4 linked regions of the Rhinolophus ferrumequinum genome follow. The protein of the gene in region 3 purifies or fractionates together with the protein of the main gene of each other region. This does not show direct contact. Links are inferred from orthologs where the notes say so. Each region holds a gene or a part of one and is shown on either strand. Other genes may lie near its edges. The genes, in order: SNRNP70, PHF5A, SNRPB2 and SF3B4.

The links.
Region 1: the proteins of SNRPB2 (region 3) and SNRNP70 purify together in Homo sapiens (affinity purification with mass spectrometry; 5 studies listed by BioGRID and IntAct, counting the BioPlex papers as one, with this or other methods). This does not show direct contact. The link is inferred for Rhinolophus ferrumequinum from reciprocal best matches to the Homo sapiens genes SNRPB2 and SNRNP70.
Region 2: the proteins of SNRPB2 (region 3) and PHF5A purify together in Homo sapiens (affinity purification with mass spectrometry; 4 studies listed by BioGRID and IntAct, with this or other methods). This does not show direct contact. The link is inferred for Rhinolophus ferrumequinum from reciprocal best matches to the Homo sapiens genes SNRPB2 and PHF5A.
Region 4: the proteins of SNRPB2 (region 3) and SF3B4 purify together in Homo sapiens (affinity purification with mass spectrometry; 4 studies listed by BioGRID and IntAct, with this or other methods). This does not show direct contact. The link is inferred for Rhinolophus ferrumequinum from reciprocal best matches to the Homo sapiens genes SNRPB2 and SF3B4.

Annotation. Positions count from the first base shown.
Region 1 is NC_046298.1:44,386,463-44,394,417, reverse strand, and holds the start of SNRNP70 (U1 small nuclear ribonucleoprotein 70 kDa), read right to left. Parts: upstream 3,005-7,955; 5' UTR 2,758-3,004; intron 2,011-2,757; 5' UTR 2,001-2,010; coding exon 1,854-2,000; intron 451-1,853; coding exon 388-450; intron 282-387; coding exon 227-281; intron 1-226. UniProt on the Homo sapiens protein: Component of the spliceosomal U1 snRNP, which is essential for recognition of the pre-mRNA 5' splice-site and the subsequent assembly of the spliceosome. SNRNP70 binds to the loop I region of U1-snRNA.
Region 2 is NC_046293.1:6,514,260-6,522,102, reverse strand, and holds the start of PHF5A (PHD finger-like domain-containing protein 5A), read right to left. Parts: upstream 3,007-7,843; 5' UTR 2,723-3,006; coding exon 2,572-2,722; intron 2,550-2,571; exon of another isoform or gene 2,502-2,549; coding exon of another isoform or gene 2,450-2,501; intron 2,049-2,449; coding exon 2,025-2,048; intron 1,518-2,024; coding exon 1,351-1,517; intron 1-1,350. Other genes in the region: ACO2 (aconitate hydratase, mitochondrial), read left to right, coding at 3,239-3,274.
Region 3 is NC_046306.1:37,113,706-37,121,694, reverse strand, and holds the start of SNRPB2 (U2 small nuclear ribonucleoprotein B''), read right to left. Parts: upstream 3,015-7,989; 5' UTR 2,957-3,014; coding exon 2,884-2,956; intron 1,242-2,883; coding exon 1,152-1,241; intron 747-1,151; coding exon 574-746; intron 1-573. UniProt on the Homo sapiens protein: Involved in pre-mRNA splicing as component of the spliceosome. Associated with sn-RNP U2, where it contributes to the binding of stem loop IV of U2 snRNA.
Region 4 is NC_046305.1:50,392,844-50,400,668, forward strand, and holds the start of SF3B4 (splicing factor 3B subunit 4), read right to left. Parts: upstream 3,001-7,825; 5' UTR 2,687-3,000; coding exon 2,653-2,686; intron 2,218-2,652; coding exon 2,089-2,217; intron 1,822-2,088; coding exon 1,279-1,821; intron 978-1,278; coding exon 771-977; intron 1-770. Other genes in the region: MTMR11 (myotubularin-related protein 11), read right to left, coding at 4,315-4,461, 4,765-5,058, 5,475-5,657, 5,958-6,131, 6,424-6,590, 7,100-7,170, 7,381-7,447. UniProt on the Homo sapiens protein: Component of the 17S U2 SnRNP complex of the spliceosome, a large ribonucleoprotein complex that removes introns from transcribed pre-mRNAs.

The sequences.
Region 1 (7,955 bases), on a different chromosome or scaffold from region 3:
TGCAGTACGTAGCCCAAGTACCACCGCTCTCCCTTCCTGCCAATCCTAACTCCGCACTCTCCAGCTTAAATGCCTAAACCAAACAGAGCTTGGCAAACGGTGAGGGCTAAAAAGTGAACTGACCACCCCACTTTCCGAAAATAGGGAGGGACCTGGGGTTGACTTGGGGGAGAGAAACACAAGAGGGTTTGAAGAAGAAATCTGAGAGAATGAGAGAGAGACTTACACATTTTTAACTCTGTCTCCACTTCCTGCTGTCGCCGCTCAATCTTTTCCCGCCTCTGTCAGGAGATAGACAATTCAATGCAGATGGAAGTGCCCTGATGTCAAGGAACGTTCTTGAGAAGTGGCAAAAAAGACAGGGCCAGGAGGCAAAATATTACATACCTTTCTCTCCATGCGTTCCTCCCGAGTTTCTGCTCGTGTGGGAGGAGGGGCATCTCGAGGGTCCTGGGAACAAGAGGAGAGATGACATGGAGGGAGTGACTGGGGAAATGGCAAGGGACACCTACCCATCCAGGAAATAAGCATCTCAGCCATGTACCACTCCCATACACACACAAATAAGCAAACAAACAAGGACAGTTCCCAGGCCAGTGGAGGCGGGGGAGTGGTGAAGACCAAAGCACGGTCCATGGACCAATGCTATCAGCAAACTGTCACTGGTCTGCGACAAAAGTAGTACAGAAATCGGTAGTAAGTAGTATTCGGAAACTTCTACAGCAATGTGATGAGAGTTTTTATACCTGTAAAACTTGATAAAAATTTTATCTTCTATTTTGTAGTCTTTGAAAATGCTAGAAAAATGAAAATAATTCCTTTGTGTTTATCAAGAGCACCAATCTGCAATAGATTTGTCCTTTATCACAGATCAAATTCAGGACTAGGCCTGAAGTGAAAGGAGCCAACAGTGCAGTGCTCAAAAGCAGACAACTGGACACCCTCTGAGGGCCAACGCAGTTCCTGAAGGTCACCAACCACTCATTAAATAGTAACTGGCACATGGCTCATATCACCGAAGGGTGTCACTAGCCTGTAGCCATTAAATTAGTGTAACTGGCTACTAACATTACCTAAGTGCTGGTTCACTGAGGATGGCAAATCCTACTAGAGAGCCAATCTTCTATTATCTATGAACTTCTGCTATGCGACTTTCTTCACCTCCAGCTGCCCATTCCCCCTCAATGCCAGAACTTCCTTCTTCCGACTTCTGGCTGTGTGCCAGCATTTCTCAGGTGTGCTCTGATGCACCTTAAGAGGTGGATGTTGTTATCCCCCGTTTACGAATAAAAAAAACTGAGGCCCAGGAACCTAAGTCGTGTAGTCATGTTTATCCAGAGGGAGCCGAGCTGAAGTTCGGCAGTCCTGTGGCCTTAAGCGCCCTATCACACAGTGCTAACCGTTCATGAATGTCACCAAATTAATATCAGAAACATAACAATAACATCAATATTTGCTGACAGCCAAGCCCCATAACATATATCTTGCAGTTAAATACCCATCATGAGAAAAATAATATTATCCCCTTGCTAAGAATGAAAAAATCAATGCACTAAGAGGATACACCACTTGCCCAAGGTCACACAGCTGATAAATGGTGTGTGCGAGCCAAGGGATCACCTAACTCCAGAGTCTGAATCCTCAACTGCTAGTTAACTGAATTTTCACAAAAACCCAACAAGGGATCTATTATCAACTCCATTTACGACAGACAAACTAAGGATCATAAAGAATAAATCACGTGCCTAAGTCACACAGCTAGAAAACCGCCAGATACTGGAATCCCAAATCCAGAACAGCCTCCCCAAGACCCCCAGAACGCAAACCACTCCAAGTCTGCTCAGTGAACTCACCTCAAACTCTCGGATGTAGGGTGCAATGCCACAGTAAGGTTGATTGTGGTGTTTTTCATGTGGCAGTTTCTCCAGGGGTGGCAGGTATGGGATGGGGTCACGGGGCGCAAAGAGGGCCAGAAGGTTGGGCGGCAGGAACTGAGTCATCTTGCCAAGTCTGAGAACAGAAGCGAACCAGCCTTATGTTAGGATGGGCTGGTAGAGATGAGCTCCTATAATCCCTTATTCCCAAGAAAAGAGGGAAATGGGGTAAAGTCTTCGTATTAAAATAGGTTCTGTAAGGGCACGGCGTAATCCTACGTCACTAGGAAAAAAAGTAAATGTGAATGAGAAAGCAAGTTCTTGGAAGAGGGCTGTGTGTGGGTGGGGCAAGTCCCGTAAGGGAAACAAAGACTGAAAAAGGTTTCTAGGTAGTCTCAGCGTCCTGAGCCAGGAACTGTGGAGCTGAGAGGTCCCCTGGGGGATTATAGGAAAAACAAGGATCCTGACAGCGGTCCAGAGCAGTAGCGGCTGGTGGTCCCATACCTTGGAGAACAAGGCGAGGATCGCAGGAGGTCTCTGATCAACGGGAGAGGGTCATAATTAGCAAACCCCTAAAGCCAAGGGCTTGTGGGTAATAGATCTTGCCCCCCCCAAAGGCGAAAGGAATTATGGGTAAGGGTCCAGGACTCAGCGGCGACAGGAAAAAGGCAACGCATCGCAAGGGCCTGTGGGTAAGGGACCACGGGAGCGCTATGGGAGGAGGGCCTAAATGCCCAAGGTTCTAGCTAGGTAACGGGGTACAAAAAGGTGCTGTGGCGGTAGCGCGGGAAGTGGGCCCGGTTGAGGGAAAGAGACCGGGGCCCACCGCGGGGACTTGTGGGTAGCAGCCCCGCACCCGGTAAGGCCACTCAGTCACACTCACCCGCCGCGCGGCGCCCTCCTCGACCTGACGACGGTCCGAGGGCTCGCGGCGGCTGCGGCGGCCCCTCAGCAGAAGGGACTCCTGCTCTGGCTTGGACTCCAGCGGCGTCCGCGCTCTCCTGCCTCCGCCGCCAGCTCAGCGCGCGCACCAGGCCGCTGCTCAGGAGCCCGCGCGGCCTCGGTTGGCGACAGGGGCAAAAGGTGGAACCAGCCTCAAATCCCTCCGCCGCGCGCACTGCGCACGCGCCGCGCGAGACAAGCCCCTGCCCACACTCACGGACCGGTCGCAGCTGTGGGCACTGCGCACGCGCGAGATCACTGCCCCGCCTTCCGGCACCTTAAATTCTTGCCGCGGCCGGCTGGAGCTCGCAGTACGCACGCGCGCTTTTCACCAAGCATTGCGCCTCGGCCTCGCGCTCTGTACTCCAACTGCCTGTGTCCGCGAGACTTTACTCGGTACCCCGCCCCTTTCCCCAAACACACTTCCCCGAGTCTTGTGCGCATGCGTGAATCGTTATGTACCGTGTGTACCCTTCCGCTGCCTGGCAAAAAGTCCGCATGTGACTAGTATGATTACTTAGATGCCTAACCCTTAAAATCAATAATTGCTCACCGAGCGCCTAATGTATGCTAGGCATTGTTTGAACTTCGGGAATATAGCACGTGGCTAAAGCAAAGCCTTGTCCTCTTGGAGCTTACATTGTACTGGGGGAGACAATAAAGGCATTTAAAAGAGTAAATATAATTTCGGATAATGGCCTGCACAATAAAGAAAAATAGGGCAGTGTAAGTGGATGGGCAATGAGAGCAGGGCTATTTTAGAGAGGTTGTTAATGGAAGGCCCTTCTGACGAGATGACATTTGAACAAAGGCCCTGTGGAAGGGAGACCTGGGCGGGACTAACAGCAAGTGCAAAGGCCCTGATTTAAGGACAACTGGCAGAAATCCCACTTTGTGGACCTTGAGATCAGAGAGCTGGCAGCTGTGTTATTTAGGGCCCTGTATACCTGCAAAGAGTTCAATATTGTATTTTAAGGTTTTTTTTGAATAGATTCAATTGCCTGTTTAATGATAATTACAGAAAATTATTACAAAATTTAAGTGACCAATTTCATGTTTCAAGAAACGAGTAATATAAGAGCACATTCTTTCAAAAATATTTTGACATATTTGCTTTATGTATGTATGTGGGAACTCTGCACTATTTTTTGGAGCTTTACTGTAATTCTAAAATTATTTCAAAATAAAATTTAAAGAAAATAAACAAAGCTAAATGCCTTAATAATGTATTTTTTTTCTGTACCATTTGAAAGGAAATTGCTGAGGCACTTCACCTCTAAATGCTTCAGTATATGTCTTCTAAGAATATGGCCAATTCTCCTACATAACCACAAAATTACTTTCACCCCTAAGAAAGTTTTCCCAACTGACCCAAGAATATTTTGTTTTGATCCAAACCAGGAGCCAGTCAAGGTTCACACATTGCATTAGTTGTCATATCTCCTTGTTTTAATATAGAATAGATCCACACACGCACACACACTTTTTTCCCCATTATGTTGGTTTTTCCCAGAGGTCAGACTAGTTTCCAGTTAAATGTCCCATAATCTAGATTTGTCTGATTGTTTCCTTCTATTGTTTAGTTTGTTGCACGCCCCCGGCTTTGCCTATACAACGGACATTGAGTCTGAAGGTTTGAATAGACTGAAGCATTTTTGGCAAGAACATTTTCCTGGTGCTACTTCAGAAGTCATATTGTATCAGATCTGGAGGTTCATAATGTCAAATGGTTCCCCTATTAGGATGCTGAGTTTGGTCACCTCGTCAAGGATATAACTGCCAGATCTCTCTTTATAAAGGTACATTTTCCCTTTGGTAATCTGAGCAGTGAAGCTTTGCAAATATTCTGTTCCCCAACCATCTCTCACCTCACGATTGTAGCAACCATTGCTGATCCTTGCCTGAATCAAGTATTACATGGGGGAGAGGACAGATTATCGTTGAAATGAAATAGGAAGTAACTAAAGCGTTTTGATCACGAGGACGTAATCTAATATATATATATATATTTAAAGATCACTTTAATGCATTTTTAAAAATGCAGCGAAGGAGCTCAAACAGAAACAGGGAGATAGTTACCATGTTTCCCCGAAAAAAAGACCTAGTTGGACAATCAGCTCTAATGCATCTCCTGGAGCAAAAATTAATATAAGACCTGGTTTTGTATTATATTATATAAGACCCGGTCTTATGTTATAGTAAAATAAGACCGGGTCTTATATTAATGTTTGCTCCAAAAGACTCATTAGAGCTGATTGTCCGGCTAGGTCTTATTTTTGGGGAAACATGGTAGGAGGCTACAATTTCCAGGGAAGAGATGGTGACTTGGACCGAGACAGTAGCAGTGAGGTGGAAAGAAGTGGTGGGATTCGGGATATATTGTGAAAGTAGAGCTCACTTATTCAGTTGCTGTAAGAGTGGGAGTAGAGTGTATAGAAAAGAGAGAAGTCAAAACTAACTCCTAGAGAAAATTAAGGAGACAATCAAATGCAATGTGGAATCCTGGATTAGATTCTGAACCAGAAAAAGAACATCCATGGGAGAGGTGAAATTCGTCAGGTCTACAGTATTATTGGTTAATAGTATTATATCAATTTTAATTTCCTGACAAATAATTGTACTTGGTCATGTAAGAAGTTGACATTGGTGGAAGCTGGGTGAAGGATATATGGGAGCTCTGTACTATTTTTGTAACATTTCTATAAGTCTGAAATCATTTCAGAGTAACAAGTTTAAAGAACAATTTTAAGGGCCGGCCCGGTGGCTCAGGTGGTTGAAGTGCCGGGCTCCTAATGCCGAGGTTGCCAGTTCAATTCCCACATGGGCCAGTGAGCTGCGCCCTCTACAGCTAAGATTGTGAACAAGGCTCTCCCTGGAGCTGGGCTGCTACAGGCTGCAGTGTGCTGCTGGCTACTGACTGCCTCCCGGTGGCGGGGGAGGGAAGCGCAAGGCTTGTAATACCAGCATGTGCCAGAGAGCTGTGTCCTATACAACTAGACTGAGAAACAACGGCTTGAACCAAGTGTGGTGGGGCGGGGCGGGGGGGCAGGAGAAGGGGGAAAAAATGAAGCTAATCTCCCCTTAATAATAGTCCTTAATAATAGACTCACTCCTACATTTGTAGACTGAGCAATTTGGTAATTGATAGTGCTATTTCTCTAGAGATGAGGGAAGGCATAGGGAAGAGTGGGGTTATGGAGGAGGAGTTGTGGGCTTAGACATGTCAGAGAGGCCCATTTGACACTCATATGCAGTTGTGGAGTTGAAAGTTGGGACATACGGTAATTACAGAAGAGTCGGGGGCTGGAAAACCCAGATTTGGGGGTTATTGGAATAAAGATAGTATTTGAAGCCATGCGATCAATGAGCTCACCTAGGAGATGAGAGAAGATAGAGAAGGGGAGAAGTCTGAGCACCGAGTCCCAAGGCCCTCCACCATTTAGAGTTTAGATAAAGCAGGAAGAACCAGCAAAAGAGACTGAGTGGGAGTGATCACGAATTTTGGAGGAAAACTGGGGTAGTGAGGGGTCCAGGAAGCCAAGAAGGAAAATGCTTCAAGGAGGCAGTGTTCAGTGTGTCCAATGCAAAAGGTAAGGACTGAAGTTTGGCAACCATAGGTGACCTTGACAAGACAATGGGAGGGAGGTGAAGGGAAGACCTCAAGTAGGGAAAATTCTTCAGAGAAGTTTTGCTACAAAGAGAGCAGAGAGAGGTGATAAGAGCAGGAGAGGGAAGTAGAGTCAAGGAGGTTTTTTTTTAAGATAGAAAAGATATTAAGATAAAAAGTCTTATGATACATTTGTCTGCTGATGGCAAAAAAAGTTACTTATACACCTATCATGGCCACTCTTAACTACTTACTTATCTTATTCATGAGACCTGGAAACTTATGTCCACACAAAAACATGTACAAGGATTTTTACATCAGCTTTATTCATAATCACCAAAAATGAAATGTAACTTAAATGTCCTTCATAGAGTGAATGGATAAACAGATGGGTGTGTATCCATGCCTTAGAATACAACCGAGAGTTAAGAAAGTTAAGAAAGAAAGACCTACTGATACCACAGGAATGAATCTTCATTTTATTAAGTGAAAGAAGCCAGATTCAAAGGCTATCTACTGCATGGTTTCATTTATTTGACATTCTGGAAAAAACAAAACTACAGGGACAGAGGGAGAGAAAACAGAGCAGTAAGTAGTTTCCATGAGCAGGAAACCGGGGGTGGGGCGGGGTGCAGAGGAGAGCGGTTGACTGACTACAAAGGGAAGGAGGAAACTCTAGGAAAGGGGTGGGACTTTTCTATATTTTGATTCGAGTGGCAGTTACATGTCTGTATACATTTGCCAAGACTCATAGAAATGTACACTATAAAGGGTAAATTTTATTGTATGTAAATTAAACCTTGATAAACTTGACTGAGCACAAAACATGGCTCCCCTAAATAGTCATTAATTACAAGGGGAAAAATACAAACTTTACAATGGAGAAACCCAGCAGACACTACCCTAACCAAGTGATCAAAGTGAACATTACCAATGATAAGACATATCAATATTGTGCCCCCTATATGATGTGATGAGAGGGGAATTTTGTGTCTGTGGCATGCTCCCCCACAGAAAAAACCAACACTATAATCTCAATCTAATCACAGTAAAACACAAAATGAGAGACAGTCTCCAAAATAACTGACCAGTATTCTTCAAAAGCGTTGAGGTGATTAAAGACAAGGAAAAAGTAAGAAACGATCAGATTGCAGGTGACTAAGGAGACATGACAACTAAATGCAACATGGTATCCTGGATTGGATCGTACAATGGAGAAAGGACATTAGTGGGAAAACGGAGGCAATCTGAAAGTCACTTAGTCAATAGTATTGTACCAGTGTCAATTTCTTAGTTTTAATGCAGGTGGTATGGCAATGTAAGATGCCAACATTAGGGGACATTGGGCGTAGGATATTCACAAATTGTGCTATCTTTGCAATTTTGTTTTACGTTTTTCCAGTTTTTAAACGAATTTCTGATGTACAAAACAATGCAATAGTTAGACATTTCACCCCTCACAAAGTGATAACCTCCCTCCCCCAATCTATTGCCCCTCTGACATCGTATGTATCTATTACAATTCCATTGAC
Region 2 (7,843 bases), on a different chromosome or scaffold from region 3:
TACCAGACAGTCTGTAGGGGGAATGTCTATGGATGACTTATAAGGTCAGCACCAATAATGTGTCCCATGCTTACCCTACTACATGCCAGGAACTACACCAAGAAGTGGGAAAAGGAGACACAAATATAAACCAAGATCACTCCTCTAAAGCAGTGTCACCTAGCTGGCGGATCAAATCAAGCAGGACATGATCTGACAGGCAAAGGTAAGTGCAAATCAGAGTTTAGGTAATGAGGGAAGTTCAAGTCACCAACCGAAATTATGTTTTTCGTATTTTTATCGATGGCTCTTCTCATCTCCCTAAATAACAGAAGACTTAATAGTGTAAGAAACAGTTTTATCTGGTTTGCTAAGTCCCACTTACTGAGGTTAGACAGGACCGAAATGCAGGCTGCTGAAGTGGCTGGGTTATTTCTCCTCAACATGGACACACCCTACCAAAAAGATTTACAGAAGGACAACTCGGTGTAATGGGGACACCACTCGGTTTAGTCAGACAGTCTGACTAAACTTGCCACTTTTTAGCTGGGTGAGGGGCTGTAAAATGGGGCTAATAATCCCTATTTAACACAACTATTGTAAAGAATAAGCGAGATAACATCTATAACCTACCTACTCTTTACTCATGGGAATATTAAGATTTATGTATCTTTTGCCTTATCCTAGATTAGGTAACCAGATACTTTCCACTAGCCTACGTACTGTATAACACTTTCTTTTATTGTGTCATAAGAAAAAAACAAGCTGGTTCATGAGACTTCCCCCAAGAAGTCTGCTAAGGAAAAATGGTAAAACTCGCCCTTAGTATAGATCTATAAGTCCTCTCTATCAAGCTCAAGGAAGTGAATAACTGGCCACTGCTACCACACAGTGTCAAGGGACACAAATGTCATGCAACAGAATCAATTCCACAATATCAAACCAAAGGCATTCTTTAGCTGAAATCAACCTGAATTTCCCCAAATTCAAATGTCACCACATCTACCCAAACAGTCCTTAATGACAGCAAAGAGAATTGGTGGCTATCACACACCATGCACTGTGTTAGAATTTACAAAATATAGGACATTATTTCTGAATTAAAAAAATCAAGAGAGACATCAAAGGAATAGAGAGGGCTTTCCAAATTGCTGGTGTTGACAAAATGCTTCTCTTGCAGTTTTGCCCTTGATGGAAAATAACTGCCTTTTATTGGACTACACCCAGTTGGGCTCAAAGAACTTGAAAAAATTATAACCTAGATGACTAGCTGAACATACTAATCTCCACAGATCATAAGAGTTTGTCATGGAGAGCGGAGTGTTTTTAAATAAAAGGAAAGATCAAACGGAAAGCTTAGAACATACTCACATCCTTCTCCTGAATGGTGCACTCCTTACAGTAATATGCATCGGAGACTCCGGGGCCTCCACAGATCACACAGCGCCCCTGATAGGAGCCATAGTTACACTCATCACATATGCGCACCAGGGTGCAGGGCCGCACGTAGGAGTCACAGATCACGCATTTGCCATCACCTGTGAGGAAAAGAGAATGGAGTAATGCCCACTTACAAGCAGTACCTGAAGTCCTTTGCCCTCCTCCTGCTATGGGGAAACACACGAGTCTCCTGACAGTGATTCTGGGGCACTCTACTTTGGCATCACAAAACTTGGCTTACTTAGCGTCCATCCCCACAATACATGGGAAACATTAATCAACTAACATGTAAAGGGCTTAGAACAGCACTGGGTAGGTGATAAGTCTACACAATTACTGGCAAAAACTGTGTTGGAGACCAGGTCGTGCTACTTTGTGTCCAAAGCTAGAGATTTTCTCAAAACCTAAACGCTGTCTAAAATGTGCAAGTTGGAGTGGGGAAGTGGAGGGGGCCTCTGGTTGCAGCCTGGCATCCAGTGTTTACATGCTTCCGGGCGCAATGACTCAAGGCCCGCTGGGGCCCCACAGCAAATGCCCATTTGCTGATTCCACAGAAACTGTGAGTAGGCCGGGGTGGGGTGTTCTGGAGGGCGTGTTCGACTCACATTTTTCACACAGTCTTCCGATGGCTGCAAAGTAAAGAGTACAATTAGCATTAAAGGTTTGATGAAGAGAGAAAAACATCCTCGAGCTTGGGGTGTGGATCGGAGCAGGGACTGCAGCGAGCCCTGACCCATCCATCCCTCATAAACTTCCCAAATCCACACCATCCTAAAGCCCCTCCCAGGTCTTGGGCAATAAAACTTTCTCCGGACCCCACCCCGGTCGCCCGCCTTCGGCTCCCAGCAAGAGCGCCACCGCCTAGTTTTCATCACAGGCCACAAAACCCGCGCGCGCCTACACTGCGGACCGTGAGGCGGGAAACGTGGCACCTCCGAAGCAAGACCCTAGAAAGAGATGGAAACCTCGGACTCCCCAGCTCCTAAGACCACCCCCACCCAGGGAGCCGAGCGCATGGAAGCGGTCTCACCAACACCAGCCTGCTTGCGGCAAAAGATCAAGTCTGGGTGATGTTTAGCCATAGCACACACTCAAGCGGCCACCGGAAGCTGCGGGAACTTCCGTCCGACCTTTAACCCCCATTGTACCTGCCTCCTTGTCGCCGTGATTGGTCCTCTAGGCTTCCATCAGCGTTCACAATCTTTGTACCATGCCCTGCTCTAATTCGCGCGATCAAAACCCTAGCGTTCCAAAGACGAGTTTCTGTTGGGGAGTCAGGTCCGGGCAGGTGCGTGAGAGTCATATAAAAATGCCTTTCCCAGATTTGGATGGAAGAGACAAATTCCAAAGTGTAAAGATGAAACTTGTATTGGGATAAATCATCCGTGTTTTTTCTTCAAGATACATTCAAAAGGTTTATTGCACCAAATGCACAGAAAAATGGAGCAAAACAATACATGAACAAATTTTAAGAAAAATTTCCCATACATTGACATTGATATCTCTTTGATCAAAAATGTAAAGTACTATCAACGTATCTTAATGGAGCTTCAATTATAACAAATCCGAGAACTTTCTACATTGCAATCTTGTTTCCAGGATATATAGGTCATCATTCCGTGTTTTTATGCAGCTCTCTTTCCTCTTCCGGGTCGGTCCCTAACACGGGAGCTCCGCCCACTGCGCTTGAGGGACTCAAGTGCCTCTGCGGAGGCCCCGCCTTTGCCGTGACGCCTCTTTAGACCACGCCCCCCGAGGGCTTTAAATAGGCTGTTTGTCACGTCACTTTCACGCGACCTCATCTTTGTCAGTGCACAAAATGGCGCCCTACAGCCTCCTGGTGACCCGGCTGCAGGTGAGCGAGCTCAGGGCCCTCTGGGTTCACGGGGGCGGGGTACCTCCTACTGTGCCTGCGGCTGTGGGCGCGGCGCGGCGAGGCGGGCCCGACCTGCGATGACTTTGTGTACCTGTCCCGACTGTGGGCCCTGCGCCCGTGTCCGATCCTCCGGCGCCCGAGGTCAAAGCGTCCCCGGCTCAGTCAGCTCTCCCAGGGCTGTCTCCGCCCCGCGGGAAGCGTGGGTCCAAGCAGCAGTGGCCGGGTGAAGAGTGGAGGCACTTCTTTCTCCTATTTGAGGACCGCACTCCCCTTCCCCGTAGGGTTTCTTTCCGTTCCTCAAGGTGAGGACAAGGTGACTGGGGGTGTGGTCGTGGTTGAGCCCGCTGGGCCCAGCGCCTAAAGGCCTCGCTTTTCATTTCTCAGCAGCAGAGACTTGCTAGCCAGGTGCATCTACAATTGCCAGGCCTGGAGTCTGGAGAAGAAACTAGAATCCTGTTGAATCTTTTGAGGATCCTGCGGAACACATAGCCAAGACTGAGGGAGTGGGGGTGGGGGTGTCTTCCGACCCCAGACGTAGTAAATAGTAATAACAGTAGTCTCGCTCTCACCTTTGCACAAGATTGAAAGACTTTTAATTCCTTATCATACTTTGAGTCATATAATCATCTAAGATGATTACTCTTATTTAATAAAGTAGGTGAAAGTTAACCGCTGTCACGCAAGTGGCCTGAGCATCTGCCTTCCTTCTAGTCCCTCTGCCTGCCTTGTTCCTGTCAGCCTGTCCTCCCAGCACTTGCTCAGCCAGAGTATGATCCTTGAGCTAACATTTGTATTTCTGAGAGTACTAGAATGGAGTATTTGGGGCTCACCTTTAGTTGCTTTTCAGTTACTAGGTGCAGAGGGTAAAGAGACACACAGTTTGACCTTGACTTTCCTGTTATGAACCATCTAGAAAATTGACTGTGACTCCCAGATGTCTTTTTCATGTCTGACTTGACAACCCTTGGAAGGTGTTATACTTTAAGGTTCAATGTCACGCATGTATTTGTTAATAAAAATAAAGCAAGCATTTGTAGTCATTCTTTGATAACCGTTTACATTTAACTTTGTGAATCTACTTTGAATCAAGTGGCACAACTTTGGTTATAGAATTTAGAAAGTTGTTATTTGCTGTACTCTCAGGAAACATTTGTTACTAGAAGTTATCTTTTTTTTTATCACTGCTTAAGTGTAAACCTTATGGTTAAAGTGAAATCATCATTTATCTTAAAACACTTCTCATCTCTCAATTCTGAACAAAGACAAAGAATTTGTCCTAATTATTTCTTCAGATCTTTTGATTTTCCAGGTTAACAATGTGGAAATACTGTAGTTTCTTCCTGATCCTGCTGTGCCTTGTAGTGAAGTCAGGCAAGATTATTTGATAAGATAAATGATTACTTGGATGAGAGGACTAATATCACAGTATTTTTGAACTGAAAAAGGATCTTGAAAAGCATGAATGTTAGTCCAGTATAGAAAGAGATCTGGACCCTGTGACCTTCAGCAAATTACTTCTGTATTTTAGTTTCCTCATCTTTCAGTTGGGGATCACCTACATTGACAAACGTTTATTGAGTTCTTGGTGATTGGCTTCTACTCAGATAGTTATGATGATTGTTATAAAGTCCTGAGAAAGTAGAATATATTTGTTTATGATCTTGTAGTCCAGCTTCGTCTTTTACAGATAGAAAATGCAAGACTTTGGGAGCCTGAGCGGTTTCCAGGAGCAGGGTCACGATTAAAATTCAGGGCTCCTTGTTTGTTCATTTAGCTAAGATGAAGGAACAGCATTATACCACACTGCCTCTTAGTAGCCAGGCTGTCTTAAGGAACGGCCAGCTAACATTGTCCCCTGAAAACCTTGTAAATTTAACTCTTTTGTTTAGCTCCATTTGAGATATGATGGTACTACCTTAGTTGTCATGTCATGCATAAAATTTTTTCCCTGCCTCATTCACCCCATATTTACTGAGCACCCACTGCTTGCCTCAGATACAATGATAAGTAAAGCAGACATTCCTGTTCTCATGGAGCTTCCACTATATTCTAATGTATTCTACTATGGAGAGCCTTGGAGATCTTTCTCAGTCAAAATATTTTTCTCCTGCCCTTGGCTGGAAGACAGATAATAGAATGATGGCAATTACTACCCTGAAAATAAGATCTAGCTGGAAATCAGCTCTAATGCGTCTTTTGGAGCAAAAGTAATACTGGGTTTTATATTTTATTTTGTGCAAATAACTATGGATGGTAAATAAAAGGGTTTGGGCACTTGCAAATACTTTTCTTAGGTCTTTGGCTTTGTCTTGAGGTAGCGGGGTGCAGAGTTTTCATTATGTGACCTTGGGGAAGCCGTGTAACCTCTTGTGTGTAAATCGGAGATGGAACTACAAAGAAGTCTGACATTTGACAGAAGTTAAAAGTGCGTCTATAAAGTATCACATTTTTGAATTATGAATCAGGTCATTCTGGTCGCATGTTCACTGTGGTACCTTCTCAGGTGTCCTGTGGTCAACTCTTGGTTTGAATTGAGTGAATGAATGAATGATTGAATGGAAGACGAAACAAACTTCCAATCTCAAATTTGGGCATAGGGAGTAGAATCACCGTTTTGAGGACTAGGGGAGCACACCGTCGCCTTTTGGACCTACTGTTTCCAAAATGTTGATTGAAAACTTACTGTATGCCTAGCACTGTTCTAGACACGGAGTGCAATAGAGAACAAGAATAGTAGAGCTTATATCGTAGTCCTGAGGAGACAAAATAAGCAAGTAGACAAATAAGAGAATTGTAGCTACTAAATGCTGTAAGGAAGATAAGATAGGATAGTCTGGTAGAGAGAGTAAGGCTCGGACGTGGCATGGCTTAAACCAGAGTGGTTGGGGAAGGCCTCTCAGAAGAGGTGACATTTGAGCCAACATGTCAGTGATAAGGCAGCCCTTCAGCATTTTGGGGAGAGGGAGACTTCAAGTAGAAGGAATAGCATGTGCAGCATCTGAGATAGGTATGAGCTTAGCTGAGGATAAGAAACGAGGCCAGTGTGGCTGAGCTGTCGAGAGAAGAGAAAGGTCTGAGCAAGAGGTAGCAGGCAGGGTGGTGTAGGCTCTGGTAAGGACATTGGGTCTTACTCCAAGTGTAATAAAGGTTTTAAGCTGTGGAGTGACAGGATCTGATTTATAGTTGAGAAAAATCATTCAGGCTACTGCATGGATGATGGATCCCAGGGACAAAAGAGGCAGGGAGACCAGTGGGGCTGTTGGAATTAACCAGGGAGTGGTGAAGGTGTCTGGGACTAGCGTCCTGGTAGTGGCGATGTTTTGGAGGCAGACGGGTTGGATGTGTAGTGTGAGGGACAGGGAATAATTAAGCATGACTCCTAGGTCATGGGACAGAAGCAACTGAGGGATGGGTGAACTTGAACTCAGTAGTCATGTGTTTGCTGAGTACTTGTATAACTTAGGTGAGGGCTGAAGCTGGTTTATAAATTCTTGATCTTTTTATCAACTCTCAACAAGGACCTGTATCTCACAGGGGAGGAAGCTGCATGTCTCGCCCCAGGCTGCCTCAATTGAGTATGAGCATCTTGCCTGAAGTGAGCCCTGTTCTATCTTGGGCCTTATGCTGGTACCTGGTGACTTCAAGAGGGCCACATGAAAAGTGTCTAAAATGAGTGTTGATGCTTGAGCAGTCCCACTTCTTTGGCTCCAGCTTTCTTTGATGCCCTGCTTTGAAGGCTCTGGACCTCTCAGCATAAAGCAGGTGGGGACTGCAGGGAGGCTGCAGCATTTTAAAAAGCAGCACATGGAATATCAGGAAACTTCTTCTGCCACAGACTTAATGTGTGGCTTCAAGCAAGCCCTCTACCCTTGGTGGCCCTCAGGTTATACACGTGCAAAATGGGACAATCAATAGGTATCCTGCCATTAAGGGTCCTGAAAGCCTAAGAATATTTGAAAAGTTCTTTAGACTCTAATGCATTATAAAAATTTGTGAATAGTTTCTGGTGTTATTTTAGGAATAGGCCCTTAATGAACCTGTAGAAGCTCTTTATTTTGGGTGTCCTAAAGGGCATGGAGAATGTTTGTTTGTTTGTTTGTTTGTTTTTTTGGGGGGGTTCCTTCTGCAAAGCTTGGGCCAAAGGAAAAGGCACCAGGTTTGGAGCAAGGTCTGGAATTCCACCTTTGCTGTGTGGCCCTGGGCAAAATAACTAACATTCCAGAGCCTCAGTTTCCTAGTCTGTAAAATGGGCACATTATTTTCTGCCTCAGGGTGGCTGTATTAAATGGGACTGTGTGTATAAAGTACTTGGGGCAAATCTGGCCCAGCATGTAGGCACCTGGGGAATGTTAGTCTGTCTCTAATCCTGGAGATGGCCGACAGCCTTCATCGCCCCAGCATTTACCCTCAGCTCATGCATTTAAAAAAGACTGGCTCTGGGGAAATTGCTTGTTCCTTCCATAGTCTCCGTGGATATCGGGTATGTGACGGTTATTCGGGAAAACCTTTTGGGTACTGCTGTAAGAGAGCTGGGAGAAGAGGTAGGAA
Region 3 (7,989 bases):
CCACAATAAAATCTTCTTCCAGCAGCTAAACGTGAATCTCACCATGTCCTCCTGAGTTTAAAACTTTCCATGTGTAACTATTTTATTTCCTTTCATTGTTATTCATTAATAAAGCCTCTCAAGTTAAATCTATGAATATTCCTTATAACATTGCTTTATCTAGACTGCATAGCTTCTGATATGTATATTACACAGTGGAATTTTCTGAAACTTCAGATTTCCTCTCTAACCCATGGCTTTTGTGGTGTTGTTTTGTAAGTTTACGAACAGAAGTTTCTTTTTAATCTTCTGACTTATTGTTAATTCCTAATTATTTTGAGATGAGAATATTGCCTATACTGCCATTCTTTTTTAAATATTCGATCTCAATGTTTTGTTTTTGCCCATTTGAACTGTCATAAATTAATGAGTGAATTATAAAATCTACTACTGTTCCTATAAAAATAGATAATTAAACCCAAATTCCCTTTAACTCATAACAGCAGAAAGCAATAGCCATAGATTTGTAAACATATACGTGAAACGATTATACCACTCATAGAGAGTAAAGCCAAAACAGTAAGATCAACCTACCATTGGTTTACCATAAAATGGAAATCCCTGCAACTGTCTCAGGGCATTCGTGGAAGAGCCCAGTTCTTTAAATATAACAAAGGCTTGTCCCCTCATCTTCATGGTCTTTAAAGCCACAATATCTACCACGTGGCCAAACTGAGAAAACAGGGCATACAGGGATCTCTTCAATTCTGTGCAAAAGTAGAAAGGAAACAAGTTATTTGTGAATGAAACAAAGACAAAATCCTTCATAAAATGACACTGCATTGAGTGGCCCCTGCCTCCACCATTCACTCTTTTATTTATACAAAGTTACAAAGTTTAATAACATCATACTATTCCCATTGGCTATCTAATTTTAAAAAGTTATTTGAAACCGTTGTATCTATGACTAAAAACATATTCAATACATTTTCAGCCCACATCTATTTGATTTTTAAAAAGCCTTAAAATTCTTACCCCAAAAGAGAAACCATTATTTCAGGCACTGAGAAAGATGACTGACTAAATGAGAAGTTTCGAAGTAGCACAATTTTTAAGACAGTAGAAATTAAACACACTTCGGTTGTTAACCAGTATATTTAAAAAGCACTTACCTTCTTTTTTAATTTTGTCATTCATATTGTTGATATAAATTGTATGATTTGGTCGGATATCCATGTTTTGGGTTAAACTGTTCAAACAGCCTAAAGAGACAGTAAATATTCTGTTATAAATAGGGAAGATTATTAACTTAAACTCTAGCGTGGCATTAGGATACAACACAAGGGTTTATTAACTTTGGTTCCCTTTCAATCCCAAGTGTCAGAGAATACCACTTTGGAAGTGTCTTTAAAACCTCACCAACACTTTGCTAGCCATCCTTTTTAAACCAAAAGAGAACAATTCTCAAGCTCAAAACCTGGTAGAGCACTACTACCTAGGCAGATTTCAATAACATTATTTTATTTAATACATTCATTTTTATACTTATCTTTCACTTACAACTGACAGTGTTTGTCTAACTACTTATAACTTTTCTAAGCAAATTATTAAAAATTAAGTAGATCTGAAGAAAAATGAAAAAGAAACTTAGCAAATCTACATCCAGTAAAAATCACTAAGTTAGAACATTAATGAAGTTTGCCAAGAACTACTTCATGGGTATACTTATAAAGCACTTTCATATCTATTACTTCATTAATACACACCATCACTAACTGTCCCAACTGCAAAGTTACCTCTAACCAGCTTGAGAGAATAGAGCGCAGAGAGAGCAGTACCGCATGATGGTTAAGAGCTCAGATTCTACTACCAGCCAGATCTGAATTCAAATCCTATCTATGCACCTAACTAGCTGCTCGACTGAGGGCAAGTTCCTTAATCTCTCAGGTTCACAGCTGTAAAATGTGGATGGTAACAGCCTTTACCCAGTAGAACTCAGAAGACTAAATGAGATAAAGATCTAGCACAGTTCTTGCATGGACAGCAAGCACTAAGTGTTGTTATTGAAGGTTAAGGGCCTTGTCTCAGGTCACATAGCTAATAAGCAGCAGGCCTGAGAACTCAGCTCTTGTCTTCCGGTCTCTTGCACTTTTCTTTCACATTCACCTCACGATTTCATTTTTTACATTGTTTTTGGTTGCAAATTCTGACCTTGATTTCCTTGGACGCCCCACATATTCCTTAACTTCACAACTACACCCATTGTATGTGAACTGCAAAGGATGACTGACAAGGGAAAAGTCTGTACTTGTACAGGTAATAGGTGAAAAAAAAGCAAGGCTTCCCAGAGACTTGCGACCCCCTAACCTGAAACCTGGAGGGAAAGGAAGTGATAGAGAGATCAAACTGAAGGCAGAGAACAGAGGGCAGACTCTTGCAATGTATCTCGTGCGAAGTTTGACGGTGGCCCGGGCTAGTGAGGGGGCAACGGAAGTCGCTGCCCAATGCAAATGGCAACTGAAAGCCCATACCGAGCTGTAAATTAGCATAAGCGAAGGAACTATTAAGATTATCTTTCACTCCGTACGCGGGAGTCTCCCATCTCTCCAGACACAGGCACATTCGCCCAAAGCCCCAGCCCGAAGCCCAAGAAAGCAGCCACGGATCCCAGCACCGACCCATCTCAGTAAAGAGGCTCGTAAGTTAGGGGGCCCGGCCGGACCAACGCGGCAGTCTCTATTGCTCCCTCGCACATTAGCTAAGCCTTCCGCGAACCCTGGGCCGGACGCGCACGGTTCCCCCCATCCCGCCTCGTCCACTCCCTGCTCCCACAGGGGAGCGCTGGGCCCGCGGCCACCTGCAAGGGAGAACCGAACCAGCAAGGGAGAACGCGCTCACACTCACCTGAGGCCGGCGCCGTGGCCACTAAGAACACAAAGCCGGAAACGTAGCCAGAAGCCGGAAGTAACCCTACCATGCGCCTCAATCGAGCGCCGATAAATCGAGAAGCGGAATGAATCGATGACCCGCGGCCACAACCGGGAATCTCTGCGCATGCGCATATCTGGTGGGCGGGGAGAAGAGGTGGGAGGATGGACTGGGGGAAGGGGAGGGGTCTTGTGGGAACTGTGGAATGGAACCAATGCTGGGACTGTGGAGTGAAGGGATAGGGGAGGGCATTGATTTATTTACACTACCACGACTTTGAGCGGTTTTACCCCACACAAAAGTGCATTCCATCTTTCCAAATCTTACATAGTTTTACAGGCTCAGCCCCTCCATACTCACTACTAGGGCAGGTGCCCCGGTTTCGCCCTTCTCTGGGCTCTGGCTGCCCCCGGTTTAACATCATATTCAGGGCAGCCCGTACCCGTAACAAGTCTCCTTTGATTCCTGGGACTCCAGGGAAACTCTCTAACACTCTACTGATGAGCTTGAATCCCAGAGGCAGCTCAGTTTGAGGCCCCAAAGCGGAAGGAGGGTACTTGAGTGAACAAAACTGACAAAAATCCCCACCCTCAAGAAGCTTACATTATTTTCAAGATGTTGCAACTTTACGTGATCTTTTAAAATAAAAATCCCGATCTTATAAGACCACCTATTTGGCCCCTTCATCCATATGTCCAAGTCATAGTCAGCATTTAGAAATAACATTTATAAGTTATTTATTTTGATATCTCTGTAAGGCTCTCTGTGGGGACAGAGCCCCAGAAAGCAGTTTCCAGGCTCTCAGCCTCACATAGAAAGGTGCTGGCTCAGGTAGTAGTAGATAGCCATCAGCTGTGGCTGGTTGGCCGTCAGCTGTAACCATTGAGCCATTGGCCACTAATATAACTGCCATGGCTACGGAGGGAAGTCGAGGAGAGAGGAGGAGAGAGGAGGAGACTGAAGGAGAGTGGAGGAGAGTGGAGGAGAGTCGGTTGGTTGGCTGCAAAGTGGACAGCAGGTCACACGTCGTGTAAACCCAGCCTCCAGTGAGACCATAGTGGTATGACTTCCCTACCTATGGCTCCGTGGGTGTTCCTTTTTGGCCTAACTATAACTATATCCTGCGTTTTTGTGTGGGGAGTGGGACCAGAGACCCCGCCGGACGCCCCGTACGACACTCTCTCTCCTCATAAGGCAACCACATTTGACTAATAAACAAACACCTATAAGATCATCGGCCTAAACTCCCTCAAAAAAACCCCATTAATTTCCTATCATTCTTCCCACCCTCTCACCTCCTCACAAAATGCCTAGATTGTTCTAGGGTAATACAAATTGTTGGTGTTTAGGCCAAGCTGAATGGGAATTCCAAAAAATACATGTATTCATACATCCATTCATCAAATGTATGTAAAGCATCATCTGAAATGGTTGTTATGACCCAAGGGGAATCCAATCTTGCATCTTCCCCTTAAGTAATCTCTCTGAGCCTCAATTTCCTCTTCTGTAAACTAGGGATCATAACACAGTATTTCCCAGAAAATAAGACCTAGCGGGACAATCAGCTCTAATGCATCTTTTGGAGCAAAACTTACTTATAGACCTGGTATTATATTATATTATATTATATTATATTATATTATATTATATTATATTGTATTATATTATATAAGACTATATCTTATAGTAAAATAAGACCGGGTTTTATATTAATTTTCGCTCCAAAAGACGCATTAGAGCTGATTGTCTGGCTAGGTCTTATTTTCGGGGAAACACGGTAGTACCTCCTTTTAGTGTTATTGTGAGGATTAAGTGAGCTAAGTGTAAAGTGATTAAACACAAAATAAATGGTTTATAAATGTTATTTCTAAGTGCTGCTTATGACTTGGACATATGAATGAAAGGGCCAAATAGGTTGGTCTTATAAGATGGGAATTTTTATTTTAAAAGATCACCTAAAGTTGCAACATCTTGAAAATAATGTAAGCTTCTTGAGGGTGGGGATTTTTGCCAGTTTTGTTCACTCAAGTACCCTCAGTAACTAGAAAAGTGGCTGATTATAAACATGTATTGAATGAATGAATGAAGCTTCATGGAAAAATTAGACAATAGTAAACTTATGAAGATGCACACAAGTGTAGGAAATAATGTTAAACAACCACAGAAAAGTATTATTTTATTATACAGATATGAAAATTAGAAGAAATGTCAATAGTTCTGTCTCAGTTAAGGAATTATGAAAAAATATGAAAAGAATATGCTTAGTACATTAAAGGAAACATAAACTAAATAAAATACAATTTCTGAATAACAAAGGACAAGCTACTCTGATCATTAATAATGGCGTCTGAACAATTAATTCTATTTAATGATAATGAAGATGGCTAAACTATTTTTCTGAAAAATAATCTATAACCTAACTGATTATGCAAGTCATTCTGGCCAAGAGTGTATCATAAATATTAAGAGAAGACAAGGTGGGACTTTGCAAAGACACTCTACCTGGAAAGAAAAAAATCATAGGAAACACAGAGATTTAAAAACAGACTACACACTGTGTTCTATTAACCACTGAAAAATGGCTACTATAAATTACACTGTAAGAAGAAAATCATGTAATGCCAACTCAGTGGCAACTTCTGTATGCTCTTCCCCAGGTTCTTCTAAACAGAGCCAGTGCATCTTCCCATCCTTGGGCAGTTGCTCTGGGCTTTCCAATGGCCTGCTAATGGTCCCCGATGATTTCCTGAATGATTTTGAGAAGGCAGTAATTGATAGCATGACTGGGAATGGAATAAAGGGGAGAGAGGAGCTCTTCTGGCCCTGTGAGAAGCTTTGGATGGCCTGGTTATATAACGATATTAAGAGTTTTATAACATCTAAACTTTGATCAGATTGATGTTAAAACAACCAGCATTCCTTTATAATCAAATTCACCTCTTGAGGGTCAAATCAGAAATTGTGTAAATGTTTCCAAAACTCATATGTTTTTAAAAAGAAGAGAAAAACAAATGAGTTTACTTGAAGTTCTGTCCATTCTATGATTCACTTTCCTGTGAAACAGTTTTTTTTCTTTCTCTCTTTCTTTCTTTCTTTCTTTCTTTCTTTCTTTCTTTCTTTCTTTCTTTCTTTCTTTCTTTCTTTTCTTCTTTCTTTCTTTCTTTCTTTCTTTCTTTCTTTCTTTCTTTCTTTCTTTCTTTCTTTCCTTCCTTCCTTCCTTCCTTCCTTCCTTCCTTCCTTCCTTCTTTCTTTTTTCTTTCTTTCTTCTTTTTTTTATTGAACCAAACCCAGAGGCAGCACTATATAATACTCTAGCCAAGCTACACGTATCTACTGATGATGAAACTTGCTTATTTTAGGGGTTGAAGAAAAATTACTACAAACAGTTGAGAATAAAACTGTGTCAAGACACCTAAATTACTATATAAGGATGATAACTAAGGTGGTTCTTAGTGACTCCGAATGCACACTTATTTTCCTACCTTATCTACACGTGTTTTATGTTTCTCATTAAAATATTTTCAGTATCTTTCTGTAGTAATGTTGAAAGGGGGCTATGTTTAAAGGAAAATGCATCATAAAACTGTGGTGGATAAATTTTGGCTTATTTATGTTAGATAGAACAACGGAAGGTACAATTTGTATGTTCTTTCTCTTTCCAGGTGGTGATTCCATTAAGAAATTTATGTAGAATGAAATTATTTTTGCAACAAACATTAAACAATTCTGGGCACTATTGTTGAGCACCAAATCAGGTTTGCCTTTTCCTAGCTGGTTTGGATTATGTTGGCTGAAACTTCCTAAAAAGCACCTTCCTTCAACAAATGGTGCTGGCAGAATTGGAAAGTCATGTGTAAAAGAATGACACTGGACTGCTATCAGTCACCATGTACCAAAATTAATTCAAAATGGATGTAAGACCTAAGCATAAGACCTGAAACAATAAACTGCATAGAAGAAAACATAGGTACTAAACTTATGGACCTTGGGTTCAAAGAGCATTTTATGAATTTGACTCCAAAGGCAAGGGAAGTAAAGGCTAAAATAAATGAATGGGACCATATCAAACTAAAAAGCTTCTGCACAGCAAAAGAAACCATCGACAAAATAAAGAGGCAACCAACTCAATAGGAGAAGATTTTTGCAAACAGTGCCTCCATTAATGGACTAATATCAATAATATACAAGGAACACATGCAACTCAACAACAACAAAAAAAAACAACCCAATTGAAAAATGGGCAGAGGACCTGAAGAGTTATTTCTCCAAAGAGGACATACAAATGGCAAATAGACGAATGAAAAAATGCTCAGCATCACTAATCATCAGAGAAATGCAAATAAAAACCACAATCAGATATCACCTCACCCCAGTTAGAATGGCTATCATCAAGACAAATAGTAACAAATGTTGGAGAGGCTGTGGAGAAAAAGGAACACTCATACACTGTCAGTGGGAATGCAGATTGGTGCAGCCGCTACAGAAGGCAGTGTGGAGGTTCCTCAAAAAATTACGAATAGAATTACCATATGTCCCAGCAATCCCTCTCCTGGGTATCTACCCCAAAATCTGAAAACATTTACACATAAGGACATGTGTGCTCCAATGTTCATTGCAGCTTTATTTACGGTGGCCAAGACATGGAAACAACCAAAATGTCCTTCGATAGATGAATGGATAAAAAAGTTGTGGTATATATACACAATGGAATACTATTCGGCGGTAAGAAAAGATGATATAGGAACATTTGTGATAACATGGATGGATCTTGAGAGTATGATGCTAAGCGAAATAAGTCAGACAGTAAAAGCAGAGAACCATATTATTTCACTGATATGTGGTATATAAACCAAAAACTACAAAAGAACAAGACAAACAAATGAGAAACAAAAACTCATAGACACAAACAATAGTTTAGTGGTTACCAGAGGGTAAGGGGTAGGGGGTGGTAGATGAGGGTAAAGAGGATCAAATATATGGTGATGGAAGGAGAACTGACTTTGGGTAGTGAACACACAATGGGATTTATAGATGATGTAATACAGATTGTACACCTGAAATCTATGTAACTTTACTAACAAT
Region 4 (7,825 bases), on a different chromosome or scaffold from region 3:
GCACTGGCAGTGAGGGCCGACGCCAGAAATATTAATAAGACTTGGTATCAAGAGTGGGATGACAGGGAATAGTCAAACACAGCCCCATATTTCTGAACTAAGCACTCGAAAACAAAGAATACTAGAGGAAGGCTAGGGTTGAAGGGGAGGGTGGAAAGTGGAGCTGTCGATTTCAACAGCAGGATTAAGAGTCTGGAATGTGAACAACCATGGAACAGAGATACAGATCTCGGAGGCATCAAAGTACAAGTAATGGAACTATGCAGAAAGGAGAACAAAACACAAAATCCTAGGTACACGCAGAGAAAAGGGAGCCTACTGAGGTGCCTAAAATTAAGGAGACAGATAAGAAGTGGATCCAGAAAAGCGAAAGAGATAAGATTTTCAAACAGGAACACATAGCCAGTTTCAAGTAAGACCATAGGTCAAACCTGATAAGGAGTGGAAGTGTCCCCTAGATTTAGCAATTAGGTAACTGCCGTGAGATGGAAGCCAGAGGAAAGAATGGAAGTAAAAGTTAAGGAAACAAAAAACAACAAGGATAGTTGTAAACTTTGGAAAAACAAGTAAGAAATAGAGACAAGGTGGTAGTTTTTAAAGAGAGTAAAGTATCTTGTGTTTGTTTTTATAAAAAAATGTCTTGTTTTTATAAAAAAATGTCTGAAAGACATTCTAGAACTATTATTGTTGAGAGACAAAGGACAGCAGCATAAGTGGTGACAGCTCCTCTTCCCAGCTCATCCCTTCCTTTTCCAGCAAAGAGTACTCACCTGGATGGGGTATCCCACCTGGTGGGAATGGGTGAGGGTGTGAGTGTCCGTGTCCAGGATGTCCAGCCCCTGGAGTTCCTGCTGCTGGGGGCCCATGTCCTCCAGCCCCAGGAGGCATCGGTGGTGGGGGCATGGCTGGGGGTATCCCAGGTGGAAGGGCTCCAGGAGGTGGCACTGGGGGTGGGAAGGAGCCAGGAGGAGGCATGCCTATGGAAGAAACAGAAGAACAGTTAATGAGAGTGAATGTCTTTCGAGAACCTGTTCCAATCTGGCCTCTCCAGGCAGGACGAGCTCCTCTCAGCTCTCCAAACTCAGAGGCAATGTCAGCCAACACAGAAAACTTCCGCCTCCTGGAGAAACTCAGCAACTTTCCTCCCCACCACAACCACTAGCCTTCAATCCCCTTCTCATCGCCTACCGACTCAATGTCCCTCTTTATCCGTTCTTTTCCTTCTTTCTGCCCCACCCCCAAACCCAAGACAAACATATTGTGAATCAAACGCTTTACCTGGTGGAGGAAGCCCAGACCCCAGTGATGATACCACAGGGTTGGGGGCAGAGGGTGGAGGGGGTGCATCTGCAAACAGCTGATGAGGGCGGTCGGCCTGGGAGAGTGGGTTTTGGGCTGCCAGAAGTCGTTCAGCTGCTGAGCCATGGCGCTCACCCTTGGAGTCCTTCTTGAAGGCATAGGACACCGTGATGGGGCGGTTACAGAGGTACTGCCCATTCATGGCCTCAATGGCCGCATCCGAAGCATCAAACGAAGCAAAATTAATAAAGGCATAACCTTTGGAGTTGCCTGTGTCAGGGTCCCGCATTATCTTGGGGGTTTGTAAGATGACCCCAAAGGCGCTGAAAGTATCATAAAGCAGCTTCTCATCGATCTCTGGGTCCAGGTTCCCAATGAAAATGTTGGCCCCCACATCCAGGTTTTTGTTGTGGGCTGATGCCTTGTTCACCCGGATTGGCTTCCCATAGAGTTTGATCATGTTCATGATCTTAATGGCATAGTCAGCATCTTCCTCACTCAAGAATTCCACGAAGCCGTAGCCTGGGAAAGTGGAAGACAGGAGGTTCACAACCGAAGTGACGTGCTTAAAAAAGGGCGTAACTCATCCATCTTTGAAAGCACAAAGAACAAAAAATAATAACCTCACTTCAATTAAGAATGGCTCCAGAAACAAACGAGAGCTAGGTCGGCTTAAGAGAAAGAAATGCTTAGTTACGTTGCTTATTCCAAGACAGCTGTGAATACTGCTGGGGTCCTCAGGAGCCGTCTGTCCTCAATAAATAAACGGACCTATTGGCCTGTACTCACCTTGGTGCTGACCAGTGACTCTATCCTTTGGCATGTGGGTGTTGACTACTGGTCCTGCCTGGAGAAACAGCTCCCACAGCAGCGGTTCGCTAACCTTCTCATCCAGGCCGCCCACGTACACAGTGGCATCTGGATGGTGCGAGCAGCAAGTTAGGGCAGAGATGCGTATGCCGTGCAAGGAGATGACGGGAACGTGAAGATGAAACCCAGGTGGGAGAATTGGTGGAGACGGTACAGGAGCAAAAAGGGAAAAAAAAAGAGAGAGTTTTAGATTAAGCCCCTACACCTCCCTCTTTCCAAGAACTAGGGAATCTTCTGAAGTCAAATTTTGAGTCCTGCTGCAAATTCTCCTTTTGATTTTCTTTTTGAGTGGGAAAGCACGCGATTCGACATACTAGAAAGCAGCACACCTACAGGCCGTAGCCGGCACCGGGCCACCCCGCCCCCAACAAGCAAAGTGGCTAGTCCCGCGGCCTCCTGGGTGGCGCAGTCTCCCGCCCGGGCGGAAACACTGCTGGCCCTACTCGGGACCCCCCAGACCGCCCCCCTGTCCCGTCCAGTCACCCTGGTTCCGCTCGGAGATCGGGCCGGCCGCCATGATGGAAGAGCTCCCGCCGTCTCCAAGCAGCGATCCCGCCCTCCGACCTCAGTCACTACTTCCACTTCCGGGGGCAAAAGCCGACGTGAGGCTGTGGGCGGGGCCGCGGCGTGGGGCGGGGCCGGAAGCGGTGGCGGCCATCTTAGGAGCCGCTAAGACTGGATGCGGCCCCGGGGACGGGCTGTTGTGCGCCTTGGTCTTTCTCCGAGTCTTCCGCTTGAGTTCTCAGGGCGAGGACGGCGGAACGGAAGCGCTCAGACCTCTTTCAAAGCAGTGCAAGACGTTGCAGGATCATACCGCTCCCGAAACGTCAACTTGAAAACTAAAAGAACAAAACTTTGTGTTTCATATATTTTTGTGCCAAATGATCGTCACTTGTTCCCCGGAGACGGGTGTGCTGAGGACTCACTCGGCTGCCTTAGGCGTGGAGGCAGCGCTCCACTCCCGCCCGCAGCCCCAGCCTAGGCTTGAAGTAGTAGTTCGTTTTCCCCGAAGGGAGGGGATTGCAGTTTATGTTGGAGCCGGAGTGATGCCTGAGGTGGCCTCGTGGTTAGGGTGGGGGGTGGGGGTGAGGGGAAGCTGAGGCTCTAAGTGACCAAAGCTGAGGCGTGGTTGACACTGAACCCAGAGGCTTCAACCTCTAGGACACACCCGGCCTCAGCAACCACGGCTCGGTGTGCGTTTGCCCCACGTCTGCCACTAAATGGGAGGCTTGGAGAAGAACCTTTTCCCCAAATTGCATGTGAATTCTGCAGAGCCTCACCTGACCCAACCCCTTATTTCCTTAATAATACGGTGGGTGCCATCTCTCTCCAGTCATACCCAGCCTCTCTGTACCCACCCCCGTCTTGCCTAGGCTCCTTTATTCAGACACGAAACAATGCCAGCAACATGTATAAATACTGCGCTTTAATGAATCCCTTAAATAGAAATGTCACTACAAAAATATACAATTGGAAAAGACAGGGTGTCTCCCATATCCACTCCATACCCACAGGAAGCTGTAAGGGAAGAAATAGAAATTGGAATTCAGGAAGCAGCAAGAAGAGGGGAGAATGAGGTCGGTAGGCCAACTTGTTGGGACCAAGGAACAGCATATCTCTGCTCTCACAAAGCTGGATATCCAAAAGGGATGGAATTGCCCTGAAAAAACAGGTGATCATATTCTGGATTGTTTTTGTTTCTAAATTCTTCAAATCACAAGACGCGATATACCGGGGGTGCCAAAAAAAATACACAAATGGGACACTTTGGTCAACGTTGCTCAAGCAGTAGTTTGCTGTACTCAGAAATGTCTGGACCATGATAGTAACCACTTTGAGTACCTCTTGTCATTGCAGAAGTCAAACACGACTTGTATTCATCTTTTGTTATCGGTATATATTGAGTATTACAATTTTAATAGTTCTTTCCTTTCTTAAAACGTGTATACATTTTTTTTGGCACCCTCTGTATATAATCCTGAGGAACCAAACATGATAGACCACCCATCTGTGATGGAAACAAGTCAGCAAGCTTGTTTAAGAGTTGGAGTGTGAAAGCTGAGGCAGCAAGACCAGATATAAAACAATCAAAGGATTAGACTGAACCCTCAGACCACCTTCTTCCCGGCCCATGAGAAAGCAATTTCAACGGGCTTGGGAGAGAATGGTACTTGGATGTCTTTTCTTGGAGTGATCCTCAGGAGATATTCTTGGTGTCCATTTCCTTAATAGCTCCTGAAGATGGGATAGCTCATCCTGGAGGCCAGAGATTGTGGGAGCTGAGAGGCCCGTCTGGGAAGGGGTGCAGACAAGCAGAGAGGAACGTTATTGAAGCTCCAGCTCTCTGCTTCTAAAATCTGTCTGCCACTTCTGGTGTCTTAATTCTCTTTCCCCCTCTAACTGTGCCCTAAGTTCCACCTGATCTGAGCCACAAGCACCTTCCCCCACCCACACTCCCAAACCTATCCACTTGGATACCAACGGGAATGGTATTTCACTTCCCAATCCCCCCAGCCCTTTGCTGTTCCAGATCCTGGAAACATCTGGTTCAGCAGTCAAACCCTTCACCTCCCAGGCCCTGTCTTCCTTCCTCACCTGGACCTCAGGCCTTCCCCTCAGGTAGCAGCGTCTCCAGAACCTGATCTGAGGTCCCAGATATCCAGGTAGCAGCAGCCCCGAGGGTAAAGGGCAAGCTCCCCAGTACGAGGGGAGCCCCCACTCCTGATCAGCCAGACTTTCAGAGGAGATAGCAGGTCGGGGGAGCCAACGAGAAGAGACTGCCAACATGGAGGGACTGTCGCGCCAAGGACAGAGTTGATTCATGGGGGTCAAGGCCCCTCTAGAGAAGAGCCACACAGAACTGGGGGGTCCAGTAACCATGAAGCTTGGCTAAAAGGAAAAGGGAAATCAACTGGAAGCCTAGGAACCAGATGACCCGTTTCCCCAAACAGTCAAGAGCTAGAATGTCCAGCTGCCTCCCACTCACACTGCACTGGCCTCTCGCTGAGAGCTTTTATCTTTCCTTCTCATTAGGTTTCAGCCTAGGCCTCAGGACTGATTAAAATTGATTTTAGGGAAATTTATAAAACGTGTGCAAGGGACAGAAGATGAGAACAAAAAGGATGCCCTCTGCTATTCTAGGATTTCTGTCTTCCTGGGGACAGTCAGGGACTGTGACAGCTATAGAAGAGGAGTGGGGAAGCTTTCCCTGGGGGACTCAGATACTGTCTCTTTCCACTTCTCCACATCAAGTAGGATGAGCCTGTGAGAAATTCAAGGGAGTTGAGGAAGTTTAGACACCTCACCTGCTGTCTAGGGAGCCAGGAATCTGGGCAGTATTCCGGGTCATAGCCAGGATTACGGAATTGTAGTATCTGTTCATGGCTGTATCGTAAATCCCAGTCCCAGACAGACAGCTGTGGGTTAATGGAGTCCCCAGCTGGGGGCTGGGAATACCCTGGGGTATAGACTTGTGTATAGGAGTTGAACTGGACAAAGGAAACAAGAAAAGGGATGGTTAAACAAAATATACATACATACATACATACATACATACATATACACATGTAATCCTCCTCCCAGGTCTAGAGAGAAGTTCTCAGACTCTCGTCTCTTACTCCAGGAATCAGACGTAGGGTGAAAGTCAAATGCTGAGAGTGAGCACCAACCTCCACCCTTTCCCACCCATGGACCTAACTTTTAATAAATCAAGACTAAACTTCAGAAATTACTTCTCAGTGTGTATGTGTGGCGGTGGGGGAGACAAGTAAAAACTGGAAGTCACTGACCTGTCCACTCTGCTTTCCACGTTCCCAGGGAGTGTCTCTCAAGAATGTAAGGGTGTCAGGAACCCTGACACTGTCATGAAGAGCAAGAAGGAAAAACTCAGAGAATTCAAACTCAGCTGGAAACTGCTGGAGGAGCTGCCAGACACAGTCCAGGAAGAGGAGAAACACGGGGGCCTGAGAAGAGGGAAATTAAGAGGATGGGATTGTGGTGACCTAAAGGGGGAGGATGACAAAATGATGGGGGACACGGAACAAGGGCCCCGAAGGAGATCAGAAAATGGAATCTGAATTGAGCATGTCATAGATGTGGTCCCTCACGCATCTGGGTCTCCCTTCAAGCTCAGTCTACCCTCAGGACCCTTCAGACCTTATTCACCTCCAATGGAGTATACTTTTCTGATCCCCTTACTTCTTTAGTAATACTGAATGCTGGCCCCCACCCAAAACCTTCCCAAGATGTTCTCACCTTTTCGCTCGCCCCAGTTCCCCCAAGTCGGGTCAGGAAGGGATGTCCAGCTGCCACCCACTCTCGCTGCACTAGTGATTGGAAGCCAAGCAGTGTTCGGGCTTCAGGGGCTGAAAGCAGCTGGACGAGTGAAGAGAGGAGGCCATTGAAATCACGATCACCGCGCTCTGGGTGATGAAGAGGGAGAAGGGACAAAGGAGGGGCCGAGAAACTAGGGCAGAAGAGAATGAGAAAAGGAAACAAAGCAAGAAGTGAGAGGCCAGAGGAGAAAGTTTGGGGTAGGTAGGATTGAGAGGGCACATAGAAGTGAAGAGAAAACAAAGACCTTGAATGATTCACTTTGTAGACGCCACCGGATAGAAATAACCAGCCTCACATGTAGGAGGCAGATTCTAAATCTCAAACCTACTTCCACATTCCTTCCCACACCAACCCCCATGCCATTCCACTGATGGAAGGATGGTAACTGAGGACGGAAACCCTGGTTAGGGACCACGGGCTGTAATGGGGAGACAGAGGTAGCACTGGAGGGTGAGTTAGAGTTCATGGTAGTTCCTAGCAAAGGGAGAGGCGGAGCTGTAATTAGAGACAATAGGTCTCCCTCCCTGAGCAGGATCCAGTCAGGTGGGTGAAGGACACAGTCAAGTAATGGAGTGAGGTGATCCAAGAAACTCACCTTGAAGTACTACAGAGCGAACCCTGGATGTCACTAAGACTGAGATGTCACTGGCCTTCCGAAGACAAGCCCTGGAGGGGCAGGTGAGGAAGAGGACGGAAGAATGATAAGCTTTGAGGAGAGTAATAGAGGCAGAGCCCAAAATCCTGCCCCTTGTAAGGGGCAGCATCACAGCGGTCTTCTCGGGAGACCAGGAGACTTCAGAGGCCATTAGGCGTCCACGTTAACAGAAGGTTGGGGAGGGTTGAATCATAAATCATGGCTAGAAAAAGAGGAAGTACCTGATGTAGTCCAACCACCGTGTCCCTTCCAGGGCTGAGAGCCACTTATCCTCAGCTACGGATGAATCTGATAGAGGGTAGAGAGGTCAGAAGGGCAGAGATCAGGAAAACGTGGGATTCGGGATTCAGGCTCTATAGCCTGAAGGGTTAAGAATAAGTTGAGTCGTGGTTGCCTAGGGCTGGGGACAGGAATGAGGAGTAACGACAATGGCCGTGAGGTTTCCAAGTTCAATTGTGGTGATATTTGTACAACATTGTAAATATAATAAAATTCATTGAGTTGAACACCTAAGATAGGTGACGTATGAATTTTATGGTATGTAAATTATATCTCAATAAAGCAGTTTCAAAACAAGAATATATGTTGGGGTCCGGAAAAACAGGAAATCAGTCTGTGGGATATGGGGGATTTGAGGAGAAAGCGAAGGATCAGGGGGCCGAAGGA